Callithrix jacchus: one gene and its partner. The protein of the gene in region 1 interacts with the protein of each later gene in a biochemical or structural test. Links are inferred from orthologs where the notes say so. Each region holds a gene or a part of one and is shown on either strand. Other genes may lie near its edges.

Region 1 (3,818 bases):
CTTGGCAGGAGGACAGACAGTTGGCTTCTGGAACCCACTACCTCCAGGAAGGGCAGCAAAATAGGAAAAAAAGACAGAAAACCACAGTACTCAAATATACGTCAGTCAGGTTAGACAAGGAGTAACTTGGATCAATGCATCCACAAACTGACACACTTTGTACTGAACACCCTTCGGGGAAGATGAGTGTCGCTCGGGTCCTGCAGCGTGTGCCAACCCTGCAGAGCAGAAGCAGGGAGGGGAGGGCGCCAAGGGTGGGCCTTGGTCTACGTGGACAGTTTTAGGCACGTGATTTATAATACTTTGTGGACATCTAACAGGTTAATAAAATATATATTATATAAATATATCTCCTACTGTACACACTGCTTTCTTGTGCAGCCACTGTGATTTCATGCCCCGAACTCAACCAAAGGTGTGCCAGGCTGAACCACGATGCCTGGACTCCTCCCTCACACCCCAGACTTGGCATCTCCACACTGGAGGAATGATGCCAAGAACACTGCTTCTATGAAGCCCATATTCTGCAAAGGTTGATGAATCAACAAAAGACAACATTAGCCAATGCCTACTAGAGTGGGTACAGGCAGCAAACGGACAAAAAGAAAAAAAACGGAGCAAATCCTCCATCTTTTAATGTGATAACTTTCCACACCCTCTCCACACGGAGGCACAAAGGAGCTTGTCTGGGAAGTTTGTCTGGAGTGTGTAGAAAGGTCAGGCTGGACTACCAGTCACATCCTGAGACCACACTAAACCTTTATAAGCCATTGTCTCTGACCGGTATTGTAGCCTGAAAAATAAAGCAAAGTGAGTCAAACTCCAAGCTCCCGCTTCCTGCCCTGCTGCTCCCCACACCAGTCTTCAAGGACCCCTCCCGCCACAGTCCAAGCCATCTGCTGGGGCCACCTAGAATGACACAGCGCAATGTGTTAGAGCGTGAAGGACAGAGCTTCCGGAGTGACTGTAGCCTGAGCAGGGTCGGTCCAGAGGCAGCTGAGTCCTGTGCTGCCCTGGAGAAGGAAGGTTCCTGGGATCCTGCTGCCCAGGGACTCGGGGACTCGGGGACTTGGAATCCAGCCTCTCTGTGCAGACGCGTGGACTGTCCAACTTCACAAACTTCCGGTCCCTTCCCCTCCCCAGCTGCCCTTGTCTAGGGAGGCTCATGCTTTGCTTTAATGAGGTGAGGAGACCATAGAATACCCATGGTCTTGGAGCTGTGGCTGGCAATGGCTGATGAGGGTAGAAACTGGAAAGCGTCACCTTCTCAGCAGAAGAAAGCAGGACCCCACACAGCCTGGGGAGCGGCTGCCCACCCACTCCTTGGTGAACACCATAGCCCTGGCTCGGCCTCAAGGTGCTTCTGAGAGAGGAACAAGACACCTCAGTAATGGCACACTGGGTCACCACCCAACTTAGAGGGCTTCCCCTCTAAGTTCTGTCTTGGTTTTACACATTCATACGAAAGAAATAACCCCATTGCCCAAATGAAGCCTGGAGGAGATGCGTTACTATATACGTTTTTCTCTTTTAAAAAAATTGTTTTTTGGTGGTTTTCTTAAAAAAAGCCTTTGAGTTGCAGGTCAGGTGAGTTGTTTCTGGAAGTACCAGTAGTTCTGTTGGTACAAGAGAGACTTGTCTACAGGCAGGTAAACCCAAGTTTGCCAACAAAGGCAGGAACCCCAGCGGCCAGCTGCTGCTGCTGCACGAACGGTGAGGAGGAGGAGGACACCATGGACATGAGTGGAGGCTGGACGGGACAACGCAGTGGATACCTGCTGACGCTCTAACACGGGTGTTGGTGTCACCTCTGAGAAGAGCGAGGTGAGTGGGGATGCTATACAGGAGGGCTGTACAAACTGGGCACTGGATAGGTAGTTCCTTTGGTGGTCAAGGTGGCTCTACCTGTCCTTGAGCTCTCGTGTCACTCGCTTGGTGATCCGTCCACACATCAAGCCAATCAGGAACAATATACAGATGCTCCCACTGATCACAGAGAGAATGTAGTTCTTAGATGGAGATGTCATTACTTGCATGGCAAGATCAGAGAAGCCATCTGCTGGGGCCACCTAGAATGACACAGAGCAATGTGATTCTCTCAAAGAGCACTGGGCTAGTGGCAATGTGAGGTCTAACTTATCCCTCTTAGTTCCTAGTTTAATTTATGTCTTTTCTTTTGGAGTGGGAGGGCAGGAGATAAGAAAAATCAACACAGCCAGGTGCAGTGGCTCACATCTGTAATCCCAGCACTTTGGGAGGCTGAGGCGGGCTGATCACGAGGTCAGGAGTTCAAGAGCAGTCTGGCCAACACAGTGAAGCCCCAGCTCTACTAAAAATACAAAAAATTAGCTGGGCATGGTGGTGTGTGCCTGTAGTCCCAGCCACTCAGGAGGCTGAGCCAGGAGAATTGCTTTAACCCGAGAGGTGGAAGTTGCAGTGAGCCAAGATCACATTGCTGCACTCAGCTTGGGCAACAGAGTGAGACTTCGTCTCAAAAAAAAAGAAAAATCAACACAAAGCTACAACTTTTTCCTGATCATAAAACTATATACATGTTTACTGCACAAAAGTAGAAATACAGAAAGATACAAAGTAGTGCGGTCACCCACAATTCCATCACAGTGATCTCCACTAACATCACAACACTGAAGATGTGCTGGGCCCTGGACAAAGGGCTCCCCCTGCCCTCACTCATTTAGTGCTCACACCAAGCCTAGCAGGCAGTTTTCACAACTCCTGTACTCTGGATGGAGAGTCACTGGCCCAGGGATGAATGTGGTTAAATGACTTCTATAAGGCCATGGGTTCTTCTATCTTTTGATTTATGTTCTTTAACTTCGTTTGCTGCCTTTCTTTAAAAAACAAAGAGAAAAGATGAGACTGTTCTGTATATTCTATGTTTTGTAAATTCTATAGTTTGGCTTTTTTTTTTCAGTGAGTTGGGGTCTTGCTCTATTGCCCACGTTGGCATACAGTGGTGTAATCACAGCTCACTGCAGCCTTAAACTCCTGGGCTCAAGGGATCCTCCTACTTCAGCCTACAAGTGCACCACCATGCCTAGCTAATTAAAACAATTTTTTTTCTGGCCAGGCATGGTGGCTTACGCCTGTAATCCCAGCACTTTGGGAGGCCACAGAGGCAGATCACCTGAGGTCAGGAGTTTGAGACCAGCCTGGTCAACATGGTAAAACCCCCACCTCTACTAAAAATACAAAAATTAGCCAAGTGTAGTGACACACACCTGTAATCCCAGCTACTCGGGAGTCTGAGGTGGGAAATCATTTGAACCTGGGAAGTGGAGGTTGCAGTGAACTGAGATTGTACCACTGTACTCCAGCCTGGGCAACAAGAATGAAACTCTATCTCAAAAAAAAAAAAAAATTCTGTAGGGATGTGGTCTCCCTATGTTGCCCAAGCTGGTCTCAAACTCCTGGGCTCAAGCGATCCTCCTGCCTCAGTCTCCCAAAGTGCTGGGATAAGAGGTGTGAGCCACCATAACCAGCCTGTATTCTGACTTTTTTTCACTCACCATTATATCATAAGCATTTCCCACAACAAAAACAATGTGCAGGCCGAGACCTGCCTAGGCAACAAACAAGATCTCGTCTCCACAAAAAATTTAAAAAGTAGCTGAGTGTGGTGGCATGGCCTGGGTCCCAGCTACTCAAAAAGGATCACTTGACCCCAGGAGTTTGAGGCTGCAGTGAGCCATGTTCATGCCACTACACCAAAAACGTAACTTATATTGACAGAATACAGTTAATTGCCCTCTACTTGTGGACATTTATACTTTAACCTCAGCTAGTTTTCACCCTCA
Region 2 (3,818 bases), on another chromosome or scaffold:
TGGCCACAAATAGATAGTGGCTAATTAGATAGTGCAGCATTAGAGTTTTAAAATTTGTAATGTACCCTAGTACTTAAACTTGAAATATAGCTTCATGGATGGTTTCACCCAGGGTGACCTGGGTGGAAGCTTACTGTAGTATTTTTGGCAGTTGTGAGAAAAGTAACCAGAAATTTGTTGTAGCACCTAAGTTTGCTGTTTTTGTTTATATAGTTTGACCAGTTTTGAGATAAACACAATCACACTACTCTCCCCTGAATATTTCTTTTTTTGTGGTTGTTGTTATGGGTTTTTGTTGTTGCTGTTGTGAATCAATATTTTCTTGACTAAAAGGGGTAGAACTACAGTCAATTTTACATATTCTATTAAAAATTTTATAAATTTTTAAACTGAAAAAACCCCTATAGTTGTAGTTTCCAATGTTCTTGACTGTGCAAGGTGAGAGATGAGCAGAGCTGATTTGGGTTTCTGTTTCAGTTGTGAACTGTCCAGCCCCGGAATCCCCTGAGCATGGAAGCCTGGTTTGCACTCACCCACTGGGAAACTTCAGCTACAATTCTTCCTGCTCTGTCAGCTGTGACAGGGGCTACCAGCCAAGCAGCATGGAGGCCACACAGTGTATGTCCTCTGGAGAATGGAGTGCTCCTATTCCAGCCTGCAATGGTAAATCCCTCTCAGAACACACAGAACATTCTCCAAGTCATCCCTTATTGCTTCTGTTTTTTAATCCAACTTATAACATTTTCAAAACTTCAGGAAAGTTCTTTTTTTTTTTTGTCTTTATTTTTAATAGAACTGATTCTCTTAACCAATGTATATGGCTAACCTAGTACCTGCCTGGGTTGAGAGAAGTTTTTATTCTACGTTTGGACTGCGTGTTTCTGGGGCTCTGGTAATTTGTAAAGGAGACCATAAAACAGTAAAGCTCTAGAACTCTCGGTGACTTCCTCATCTTGTTTCCCTGTTTAGCTTTTCTATGCTATGGGACTAACTTAAGACCGTGATCATCAAGCAGTCTCAGTATATCTTTTTGTCTTTCAATTGTATCTTTCTGAACCAGAGGCCAAAAAAGAAAAAAATCAGTTCTTCAGGTTCTGATAGGCTAAAATAAATGAATGGCCAAGGTATGTCAGTACTAGTCATAACTTCCAGTCAAAAATCTTTTTTTAAAAATTTTTACCTCATGTAAATAAGGTAAAATCTTATGTAAATGGTAACATAGGTTAGAGACCACTCAGCATAGGCAAAGTGAAAATTAATCAGAGAAGATAGAAATACCCATGAAAAAGAATAAAAGCTTTTATTCTGGCTGTGCATGTCCCTAAGAATTGACACAGGACTTTGGGATCTACCCTTTGGAGGCAGCTCCCTCACTTTGTTATACACCCACCCCAATAGGAAGTGAAAATATCATTCTGTAAAATTCACGGTGCTCTTATCAAATCCCCAGTGGTTGAGTGTGATGCTTTGACAAATCCTGCCAATGGGTTTGTAGACTGTTTCCCAAGTCCTGGAAGCTTCCCATGGAACACAACCTGTGCATTTGACTGTGAAGAAGGATTTGAACTAATGGGAGCCCAGAGCCTTCAGTGTACCTCATCTGGGAATTGGGACAATGAGAAGCCAAAGTGTAAAGGTAAAGATGCTCCACACGGAGACTTACTATTAACATTCTTTCTCCCAATACTGGAAATGGGTAAACTAATTCTATGCCCTACTATACTAATTCTTTGGGCACATTTGTTACAGCCGTGACATGCAGGGCTATCCCCGAGCCTCAGAATGGCTCTGTGACGTGCAGCCATTCCCCTGCTGGAGAGTTCACCTTCAACTCTTCCTGCAACTTCACCTGTGAGGAAGGCTTCATGTTGCAGGGTTCAGCCCAGGTTGAATGCAGCACTCAAGGGACGTGGACACCGCAAATCCCAGTTTGTGAAGGTAAGCTTGAGATCCTTTGATTTATACTTTCTTAAAGAGCAATCATCTTCAAACTTGGACAGTGAAAAAAACCCCAATACCCACTTTAACTATGGAAATCAGATTTGATGAGCAACACTCATATCTTTGAGATTCATTTAAAATAACTAGTTTGGCCAGGGAAAGGATCGTATGTATTAAGAATGAATGCTTTGCTGCTTTTCGAACTGTGATGTGCTAATATAACTTTACACACATTAGCATAGAGTAGACAGAATTCTTAGTCTGAAGGAATCATATTCAGAAAGCAGAATAATGAGAACATGATTTGAATCTAAAACTCTCATCACACCTTTCTTCTGAAATGGCTCACAATTAGCAGTGATGAGACCATTTCAAGCATGGTGTCAGTTACAGCAATAGTATTGATACATATATAAGCAGTACACGTCAATTCACTTTAACGTAAGAGCAAGGATATTGAAAATAAACAGTTTTTACCATCAGCCACTGCCTTTCTCCTAGCCAAAGCCAGCACAGAATGATTTTCAGTAGCAAAACATTATAACACAAAAACCAAACTGCAAAGCACACAAATTTTATTGGGGTGCTTTCTTCTCTTTCTTTCTTTTTGGCACCATCTATAAACATCCATGACCCATATGTTGTCCTCAGACTGTGTGAAATTGTTCCCTTGACCATAACTTCTTTTGCATGTTAGATAACAGTGCCCAGGAACTAATGTTCCTGTTAATTAGTCTTTTAATTAGTGCCATGATCAGTGAGGGGGTTGAAATTAAAAAAAAAAAACAACACCACACCCATCTTCCCATTTGTCCAGGAATTATAAAGACTCTTCAGTTACCCAAGAGTTGCTTGAATGAACAGGTTCACTCAACAAATGCCAAGTACTCTCTAGTTCCACTGCAGTATTTTCTGACCATCATTTTGATGTCTCAGCTTTCCAGTGCACAGTCTTGTCCAGCCCTGAGCGAGGCCACATGAATTGTCTTCCTAGTGCTTCTGGCAGCTTCCAGAATGGGTCCAGCTGTGAGTTCTCCTGTGAGCAGGGATTTGTGTTGAAGGGCTCCAAAAGGCTCCAGTGTGGCCCCACAGGGGAGTGGGACAACGAGAAGCCCACATGTGAAGGTATGGTGTTTGTTTTTATTTTATTTTAAGATAAACACGATTGAAGAGCTTAGGAACTTGGTTATCTTGGGAAACCAGAGATGCAAATAAACTTCTAAAGTGCTCTCTCATGTGTTCCAGCTGTGAGATGTGATGCTGTTCGCCAGCTCCCGAGGGGTGTGGTGCAGTGTGCTCATTCCCCCATTGGAGAATTCACCTACAAGTCCTCTTGTGCCTTCAGCTGTGAGGAGGGATTTGAATTACATGGATCAACTCGACTTGAGTGTACATCTCAGGGACAGTGGACACAAGAGGTTCCTTCCTGCCAAGGTAGAATTGAGTGCAGACTTTTTTAGGGTACAGGTCAAATACCTCATAAGTTTCTGAACCTAGGTTGCCCCAAGGGGGTTTGATCCTAATTTCCTACATGCCAAAAACTAAGTAGTGCTTATACATTATACTTATTGTTGACTTTTAAGTGAGTTTTAGAAGTTTTCCAGTAGATTTTTCTGAAACTCTACCTGTGTACCTAACATTTGCAGTGGTGAAATGTTCAAGCCTGGCAGTTCCGGGAAAGATCAACATGAGCTGCAGTGGGGAGCCTGTGTTTGGCACTGTGTGCAAGTTCGCATGTCCTGAAGGATGGATGCTCAATGGCTCAGCAGCGCTGACATGTGGTGCCACAGGACACTGGTCTGGGTTGCTGCCTATCTGTGAAGGTGATGCATTGATTGATGGTGGTTGTCTGGGGGATTAAAGAGAAAAGGGGCCGG

Evidence for each region.
Region 2: the proteins of GLG1 (region 1) and SELE form a complex in vitro, tested with the Homo sapiens proteins (2 studies listed by BioGRID and IntAct). The link is inferred for Callithrix jacchus from reciprocal best matches to the Homo sapiens genes GLG1 and SELE.

What each region holds. Positions count from the first base shown.
Region 1 is NC_133521.1:31,777,838-31,781,655, forward strand, and holds part of GLG1 (Golgi apparatus protein 1), read right to left. Parts: intron 2,070-3,818; coding exon 1,906-2,069; intron 794-1,905; coding exon 718-793; 3' UTR 1-717. UniProt on the Homo sapiens protein: Binds fibroblast growth factor and E-selectin (cell-adhesion lectin on endothelial cells mediating the binding of neutrophils).
Region 2 is NC_133519.1:32,779,980-32,783,797, forward strand, and holds part of SELE (E-selectin), read left to right. Parts: intron 1-477; coding exon 478-663; intron 664-1,450; coding exon 1,451-1,636; intron 1,637-1,749; coding exon 1,750-1,938; intron 1,939-2,877; coding exon 2,878-3,066; intron 3,067-3,186; coding exon 3,187-3,375; intron 3,376-3,587; coding exon 3,588-3,764; intron 3,765-3,818. UniProt on the Homo sapiens protein: Cell-surface glycoprotein having a role in immunoadhesion. Mediates in the adhesion of blood neutrophils in cytokine-activated endothelium through interaction with SELPLG/PSGL1. May have a role in capillary morphogenesis.